Callithrix jacchus: one gene and its partner. The protein of the gene in region 1 interacts with the protein of each later gene in a pairwise test. Links are inferred from orthologs where the notes say so. Each region holds a gene or a part of one and is shown in the gene's direction. Other genes may lie near its edges. The genes, in order: SEC22A and STX4.

Region 1 (4,486 bases):
TCCGCCCACCTCAGCCTCCCAAAGTGCTGGGATTACAGGCATGAGCCATCGCGCCCAGTGAGGATATTCTAAAATTTATTCATTTCATGAACATTCTTATACATATGTTTTCTGGTGAATATATGAATACATTTCTGTTGAGTAGGACCAAATTTATGTTAGTTCAGGCCTTTCTTCTGAACTCTAGGTTTACATCCAAATCTACTTGACATGTCCATTTATAAGCATTTCAAATTTAACATTCCAAACCATTTGCTCCTCCTTTTGTGTTCCATGAATCAGTAAATGACTTCTCAATCCATCTAGTTACTTAAGGAGTCATCCTTAATATTCCTCTTTTTTGACCTTTCTGGCAAACCAATCTATTAGTAAGTCCCTTGGATACCATCTTTGGTTTATATATATCTTGAAATTATCCACCTCTGTCTTTAACTCCCATTACACTAGTTCAAGCCACCATTTCTGGCTTTGTCTGATGCAACTGCTTCCAACTGGCCTCCCAGCAGCCCTTCTTGCCCTCTTCCAATCTATTCCCCACAAACAGCTTGAGTGATTCTTAAATATGCAAATAAGAATCTACTTAATAATAGTCTTTATGAGCTGCCCATTGACCTTTGGCTGAGATGAGACAAGGGCCAGACCACGCTGGCTCTTATTGGCCACATTACAGATTTCAGGCTGTATTTTGGAAGATATCTTAAAGTCAATGCGCAAAGTTTCTCCTTGTTCCCTACACTCCATCCACATTGACTTCCTTTTAGTTCCTAGAGCACACGAAGTTATGTCATGTCCTAACAACCTCACACATCATATTTCCTTGACCGGGAACACTCTCTAAGGCTCTTTAATATGTCTGCAGCTTAAAAGGCACTTATTCGGAGGGCTCTTCCCTGACAGTCCAAAATTAATTCATCATTGCACCCACTAATTTTCCCTCCCAGTACTGATCACAATTTATAATTCTGTAACTATTTGTGCTTTAATGTCTCTTGCTCCTATTACGTCTTAAATTCCATCAAGTGTTACGTCCACTCCTGTAACCCCGTGCTTAACACGGTGCTTGGCACATGGTAAACAGTCAGTAAATGCCTATTTAATAATGTACGACCGATGCAAAGGCCGGAAGGGGTCGCAGGGTCTGCATCCGGCACTTCTCTGCTACGGTTAGTTTCCTTCATGTGTGCGGGAATAGAAGGGGCTAGCTCCTCTCCTTGCTCACCCAGAGGGGGCTTTTCTCCCTGTCCCTTTGATAATGTTTGCTGTAGGGCAGCTTGTGAGAGACAAATGCCTGCAGATACAGGGCGGCGAGCGGGGGAGACTGACCCTATTTCTGAAGTCAGGGCAGTTGTGTCAACAGAGGACGGGGTACTTTTCTGGCGCAGGTGCGAGAGAGGCTGCCAATCCCTCCTGCATGGGGTGGGACTAAGGCGGGTCCCGGGAGTGGGCGGGTTGTTGTGGCCTTCCCGCAGAACCCGATTGGCCTGGGCGAGCCGAGGGAACGGGGGCGTGGTTAGATTCCGCGTGTGCGAGCCCCGTTGGACGCACCGCAGCCTCGCCGAAAGGCTCCTCCCAGGCCCCACAATGCATTGCGGGGCGCGTCACTCGGAGCGGCGGGTCCCAGCTCGACAGGTACTTCCCTGCCCCTCCCAGTCCTCTTCCCTTCTTAGGGGTCGTTCGAACGCCTGCCGGCCGCTCCCCTTCCTCTCCCGGTCTCCCGCCACAGCCTCGGCCTCCGCCCTCGGGACTGAAGACCTACCCGACGGGCAGGAGCCAAGTCTGTGCCTTTGGGGTGGGAGCTGGGGCCGCGGAGCTCTGGAGGGGCGGGCAAGCGGGGACCCCGTCCCCTTCGACTTGAGGGGTCTGTTGGGCCACGCGGGTGGCAGTTGCGCTTTGTCTGTGCTGCCTCAGGTATTGGGCAGCCAGGGGAGGAATATCTGAGGGGGAGGAACAGTCGCCCTTGGCTGTCAGCGTAGTGGTGGGGATTCCCTGGCCCCCAGATGTCGGAAACACGGTGATCTACCTGTGTAAGTGGCCCGCGAGAGCTTGAGGTGGCGTTTCTTACTTCTTTTAGGCAGAATGGGACTTGAACCAGTGTCTTAGTTTACGTCTTGTGGGGATGGAGTGAGCATTGAGCCCAGATATTTGCCCACGTTGGCTCACAGAAACTTCTTGAGACCCTGTCTCAAGAGTCACTTTGGAAACGATATGGCGGAAGGGAGACCTGAGTAATTGGCTCCACAAGTGGAGGAGGTCTCCGAAAGAACAGGACAAGTCCCAGCTGGCTTGAATCTCTCTGCCAGTGAATACAGCTGAAGATAATTTTTCTCCTGTTGCTTAGTTTCCTGGATTATCCACCTGGGGCAGGTGGCGAGCTTGAGAACCAGTCCCTCCTATGCCTATTCAGCCAAGGCAAAGCCTAGCCCAGAGCAAAAGTGTCAGCCACCAGACTGGAGATGTTGGATCTCCAATCGGGGGAACAGCCACTTTTAAAACTCCAATTCACTTTCCATGTTATTTATATTTGGTTACATGCTAAGATTGTAAGGGATCAGGCAATGCCTTAAGTGGTACCTACAATTTCTGGTATATTAAAGTTCATTATTTGACGTTAACACCTGTGACCGTATCCTAAATTAATAGGGACATTCAGGTATTTCCTATGTTGAAAACATCACATCTGTTTGGTGCTTTTAATTTATTTTTTGTGTGCAACTGATTAAAATAGAAGTATATCTTATGTTGGTGTATGAAAGAGGCCCAGGCACTATCACAGGGGTGCCTGTGACCTTCCTTTACATGTTTTTGAGTAAGAAATTTGCATATGTTGATAGTGTCTCACAGTGTTAGAGTTGGGCCTGAGTTAAATCCCTACTTTGTCACTTTTTAGTTTAGGGATTAAACAAATTCCTTAAGCTTTTTGGGCTTGAGTTTCCTCAAAGGTAAAACGGAACTAATAATACCTACCTCACAGGTTGTTGGAAGGCTTAAATGAGGTAATTTGTATGAAGTGTGTGGTCCATAGAGAGTAATCAGTAAATAATATAGCAAATACTTAATATAGTGCTTTTAGTATATTACAAGGCAGTGTTTCAGGTGCTTTACATGATCCTATGAGATAGATAATATTATTTTTAAAACAAGCCTATGAAATAGATACCATTAGTAGCCACAATATGTAGGTGTGAAAATTGAGATATGTCAAAGTTTGCCCAAATTTGCATGGCTGGTGCATTGTGGAGCCAGAATTAGGACCCAGGAAGCCTGGCTCCAGATTCTGTCCTCTTTATAACTACCAAACTGTACTGCCTCTTAAAGAAATTATAACCTGCTATTTTATTATTTTAAAATGAATAGCTAGTTTCTGTATCACTGGTTTCTTGCCTCTTGTTGGTTTTTGGAGACTGATGAAGCATTGTGGTATAGAGATATTAGAAATTTAGATTGAAGAACCAGTTCTGCTATATACTAGCAGTGTGACATTGAGAAAGTGAGCCTCCATTTCCTCATCTGTAAAATGGAGGTTCTACCTATCCAAATGTGGACTATGTGGCACTATGCAAATGTTGGGATTGACACCTTTGAGCATATACTGTTGGCCCTGTCCTAGATGTGAGTAAAATCTATTGTGAAGCCTGAGGTCTTATACATACTGTGCAGTGCAAGCGCCCATAATAGGAGTGTCAAAAACTACTAGTGAGGTAAAGCGCACAGGCAGAATGGTAGAAATTTCTTCCCCTTTATCACTCAATCTACCCCGCACCCTCCCTGTGCATCACAGTTAGTATAGCTTTCTGTCCAGATTAACTGCCACTGCCCCCCCAACATTCCCACAGATCTCTGCTACCACTTTTAATAAAATAACATGTACCTTATTGGTAGTGTTTCTCAAACTTTGGTACTGTCACATATGCAAGATAATTTGATTAGCAGATGAACATTTAAAAAATTCTCCCAAAATGTTCACACACATACTTGAATGAAACAAGTACATTTAATCATAAAAACCTGACACCTCAAAACTGATTTCAGATATTATTGCTAAAAAATAGAGGACAAGAAAAGTAAGTCAGTTCAAAGACCAATATTAGGTAAATAGTACAGGTGGATGAAGATAATTATGAAAGTGGCATTTAGATGACTGAAGACTGGGAAATTATGAACTAAAATAAATGAGTGCTTTTACCCCCAGTATAGAATGTTTTTATCTTAAAAATGGCATTTGTGAAAGCATTTGGCTAGAACATATATACAAAATCTACTTATATGTTGGGCTTTATTACCTTTTGAGAGATACCTTCCTGAGACATTGAACCTGTTGTCATTACCCACACAAGGTCCTGAAGAAGAGAGATGTCTTGTTATCTTAGGTCTAAGAACTTGCTAACACTACTATAGTAGTTTGGCATTATGGGAATTTATTTTCCTCAGCCTTTACATAAAGGTTTACCCAGATTTACCTAGATTCTAACTTGTGCTTTTTCCTTCA
Region 2 (4,558 bases), on another chromosome or scaffold:
ATACCTATAATGATCTCTCCATCCCCCTAGTTACCCACTGTACAGAGGGAGATCAAGGCTTAGAGACAGGAAGCGATTTCCAGAAGTCCATAGCAACTCAGTCCCAGGAATCTAGGCTTCCTGACCAGGTCATAGCAGAAAGGGTCCATTCCTTCCCCTACTTGTACCTTCACAGAAGCTTCCTGGAGAGCCCTGGGTTCCAGGAGTCCATTATTCATTCCTGGCTATGCTGAGACTTGCTGAGTGACCTTGGGGACTCCTCCTAGAGAATGTAAGTTTGACGAGTGCAGGAATTTTTGTCTATTAGTCCCTGATATGTCTCCAAGTCTAGAACAGTGTTTGGTCCATAGTATGTGCCCAATAAATATCCATTAAGCGAATTAATGTTGCCTGTAATCCCAGCACTTTGGGAGGCTGAGGCAGGATTGCTTGAGCCCGAGAGTTCGAGACCAGCTTGGGCAACATAATGAGACCTCACCTCATGAAAATTTTTAAAAATAAAAAACGAGTGAATATCTAGATAGCCAGGGTTAGGGAAGTGTTACAGTCAGAAAGTCTGAAACCCAAAGAAGACCAGGAAACTGGGGGCTTTATCCTGAGATACATGAAAGGCTAAAATTTTGTGCACAGTTATTTACAGAGGGCCCATTATGTGCTTGGTAGTGAGCTAGGAACTCCCCAGATTCAGTTAAGAACGAAGTCATGACCTGATCTCAGATGTAAGGTAGGGGCTGGGGGGTGTGAGTGGTAGGGAGGCAGCGTGCTCAACAATACAGACACTTTTCTTAGCCTGAGCTGCCCTGACATGGTCTGACTGCTCAGAGGTGGTGAGTGCAGCCGGGCTGCCATGTTCAAGGAGGGCGCCGGCCGCCCACCTACCAGAGGCTGCGCCAGGAGGATGCGGGAGATTTCTGCCTTGGGTGAGGTCACCTCCCACCCCCAGATTCCCTGCTCACACAACCCTGCAATTTTCTGACGCTGACGGCTCGGATATTATTTCCCGATTTTCGAGGTCCCATGATGCTGACAGCCCCAAATGCTAAGTGGTCTGCCCACGTTCCTGGACCCGAAAGCAATAAAGGCGAAGTCATCAAGGGTACACCCACCCACTGCCTCAAAAGGCCTCTGGGGGTGGTCGGCGCGCCCCTCCCCACCTCGCGGGGGCTGTGTGGGCGTCGTTCGGTCGCTGGGGTGCCGGGGACTTCGTGATGAGAACGGCGTCCCAGAGACCGCGGTGACAGAGCCGGGACACGTGACAGTCACAGCGTCACGTTCTGCGGTCCGCGAGTTTGGGAACGGGCTGGTCACGTGATGCAGTGGGGGCATCATGGGGTGATATGAGATGCGGGTGTCTCGGCTTACGTACAAATGACGTACTCCTACGCCTTTTGGCAACCAGATTTCCGTTGGAAGTTGCAACGGTTCCGGTGAGGGGGGCGGGTTCTCGCGTCCAGGCAGCTCCGTTTCCGCTCGGGGCGCAACAACTTCCGACTCCGCCTTCCCCCTCCGGCGAGGAAGAGACGCGACCTTGTGCGCATGCCCCGAATTTATCACGGAGGGGCGGGGCTGAGGCTGAGAGAGCAAGAGAGGGGAAGAAAAGGGAATTCCAACCTGTGGAACCTTAGTGGTCCCCGGGGTCGGCTCCTTCCCATTGACTGTGGGTGGTGCAAGGGACAGAGCGTCTGGCGGCTTGTGGGGGTGTTGAGGTCCGCACCGGGAGGGAGGGGAGTGTCAGAGTGTGAGTGGGGTACGGGAATTCCAAACTTGAGGGCCTCCTGGCTCAGGCGCCGAGGAGGGAGAGCTCAGGCCGCCATGCGGGACAGGACCCACGAGCTGAGGCAGGTGAGACATGGGGGCAGTGGAGATGTTGAGGGGCGGACGAACTGGAACGCAGGACTCCTGATCTTCAGGGCGGGGAGGGATGGCTGATGGCCAGGAAGGAAAGTCCCGGAAGCCTGTGGGTCGTGCGGGGTGAGAGCCGCAGCGAAACAGTGGTACCAATGACTCCGGGCCTCGCAGGGGGATGACAGCTCGGACGAAGAGGACAAGGAGCGGGTCGCGCTGGTGGTGCACCCGGGCATGGCACGGCTGGGGAGCCCGGACGAGGAGTTCTTCCAGAAGGTAAGGGGCTGGGGTCTCTGCCTGGATTCGCGAGGGGGTAGGAAGACCCGAGGACCAGCGTGGTCTGGAGTACCCCATATCTCTTTCAGCCCTCTCGGTCACCCTCCCCAGGTCCGGGCAATTCGGCAGACTATTGTCAAACTGGGGAATAAAGTCCAGGAGTTGGAGAAACAGCAGGTCACCATCTTGGCCACGCCCCTTCCCGAGGAGAGTGAGTGAAACTCCGACTGCAGGGCGCATGCACCACCTTAGGGATTGTGGGGGTTGTAGTCCCACATAGGTGATTGCCAGGGTGGTTTGTTGAGGTGGGAGCTGCTGTTCGGAGTCGTGGTCTTCTCTTATTCAGGCATGAAGCAGGACTTGCAGAACCTGCGCGATGAGATCAAACAGCTGGGGAGGGAGATCCGCCTGCAGCTGAAGGGTGAGCTCCTGGGACCTCAGACAGATCCTTCCCTTTGATCCTGCCCTGTTGTTGGTGTATCTGGGGAGTGTGTGGCCCAGAGAAGCCGATGATATAACCAGGTCACACAGCAGGCCTGGGTCTAGCATCTCTGTCTCCTGGCCTCCAGGCCATTGTACTCTCCACAGGACAAGCCGGCCTCTCAGGTTCTTTTATTTACAATGTAACCATTTACTTACACAGTTATTGCAGCCCACTGGGCATTCTTTGGGCAAGAGGATGGGGTTTTGTTAGGTGGCCTCTGCATACCTATGGGAACTCAGTGATGTAATGCAAAGAAAAATAAACGTACTTTCTCCTCTTGGAGGCTCAGCCTTAGTCATTTTATGATAAATTATATTTCCCTAAAAATCCATGGAAACAAGTACCCCCAGTACTCCATGTGTCTTCCCACAGCCATAGAGCCCCAGAAGGAGGAAGCTGATGAGAACTATAACTCCGTCAACACAAGAATAAGAAAAACCCAGGTGGGTTTTTTTTTCTCAGAAATGAGGACATTTCAGCAAATGTTTCATGAAGTACTGGATGACAGATGTATGAAGGAAGGGCCTGCAGAGATGGTGGAGTCCAGCGGAATGATTTTCCAAATGGGGAAACTGAACTCAGAGAAAGAACTTGCTCAAAGTCAGGAAACCAGGTCTCCTGATGCTTAGTCCGATTATAATACCCTGCTTTATTTTCTTTCATTCAATAAGAAGTTGCTATGACCCCAGACAAGACCTAGGTTTGGCTGTAGGGACACATGTTTCTTTTACTTTTTTTGCCTCAGCCTCCTGAATAGCTGGGATTACAGGCAGACATCACCATGCCTGGCTAATTTTTGTGTTTTTAGTAGAGATGGGGTTTCACCATGTTGACCAGGCTGGTCTTGAACTCCTGACCTCAGGGGACACTCCTGTCTCAGCCTCTAAAGTGCTGGAATTATAGGTGTGAGCCACCATGCCTGGCTGGGACACATATTTTCTAGGAGTCAAGATGAGGAGTTCAGGTTCAATAAGGACAAAGACATTACTCACGTAGGACTTGGTGATAATGGTGCTGCCCAGGGAAAGAGAGAAGTCATAAATGACTGGCAGCTTTCCTGCCTATGTGACAGGGAGTCCTTAGTCCCACAGGCAGAATTCAAGAAGGCAGGAAGAGGAACTTCCCTGGGGCGACACTGAAGAGGAACTTCCCTGGTGTGATATCTTATATTTTTAATTATTATTTTTTTGAGATGGAGTCTTGCTCTGTCACCCAGGCTGGAGTACAGTGGCAGGATCTCGGCTCACTGCAACGTCTACCATCTGGATTCAAGCTGTTCTCCTGCCTTAGCCTCCCAAGTAGCTGGGATTGCAGGTGTGCACTACCACACCTGGCTAATTTTTTTATATTTTTGGTAGAAATGACGTTTCACCATGTTGGCCAGGCTTGTCTTGAACTCCTGACCTCAAGTGACCTACCTGCTGTGGCTTCCCAAAATGCTACGATTACAGGTGTGAGCCACTGTACCTGGCCTTTGGGGTGATGTGACTGGCCCTCTCTGGGTCCCCAGTGAAAAGTACTTTAGGATTCTAGGAGGTCAGGGTTGGAAGTTAGGCCCAGGGTTGGAAGTGAGGACCCCAGATTGAAGATGGAGCAACTTGGGCATCTTGGAAGGGTGCAGCCGGATCCAGGAGAGTAGATGTATCTCTGGAAACGAAACTCCAAGGAACGAACATATTTAAGGCCTCAGGAGAAGGGGCAAGGCAGAGCAGATGACCTATAGCCAGTGCTTCTGGGGTAACCTGTGGTGCTGATTGGCATGAGAGGTCAAGGGCCCATGTGGGCTTGTTGCACCTGTTTTGCCTGGGCGGCATGTTCATCTCTAGGCTTATGAGCACAGTTGTGGTATAAGCAGCAAGGTTGGCATTCAGCAAGTGCCAGACCCTTTTGGAACTGTTTAGGATACAGCAGTGAACCAATGATCCCTTTCATCATGGAACTTCCATTCTGGTG

The links.
Region 2: the proteins of SEC22A (region 1) and STX4 interact in binary tests that used the Homo sapiens proteins (3 or more experiments, as listed by UniProt). The two-hybrid records come from large-scale screens. The link is inferred for Callithrix jacchus from reciprocal best matches to the Homo sapiens genes SEC22A and STX4.

The regions. Positions count from the first base shown.
Region 1 is NC_133516.1:79,848,699-79,853,184, reverse strand, and holds the start of SEC22A (vesicle-trafficking protein SEC22a), read left to right. Parts: upstream 1-1,597; 5' UTR 1,598-1,774; exon of another isoform or gene 1,775-2,024; intron 2,025-4,486. UniProt on the Homo sapiens protein: May be involved in vesicle transport between the ER and the Golgi complex.
Region 2 is NC_133513.1:30,560,215-30,564,772, forward strand, and holds the start of STX4 (syntaxin-4), read left to right. Parts: upstream 1-1,543; 5' UTR 1,544-1,812; coding exon 1,813-1,842; intron 1,843-2,019; coding exon 2,020-2,121; intron 2,122-2,210; coding exon of another isoform or gene 2,211-2,232; coding exon 2,233-2,332; intron 2,333-2,467; coding exon 2,468-2,542; intron 2,543-2,977; coding exon 2,978-3,048; intron 3,049-4,558. UniProt on the Homo sapiens protein: Plasma membrane t-SNARE that mediates docking of transport vesicles. Necessary for the translocation of SLC2A4 from intracellular vesicles to the plasma membrane.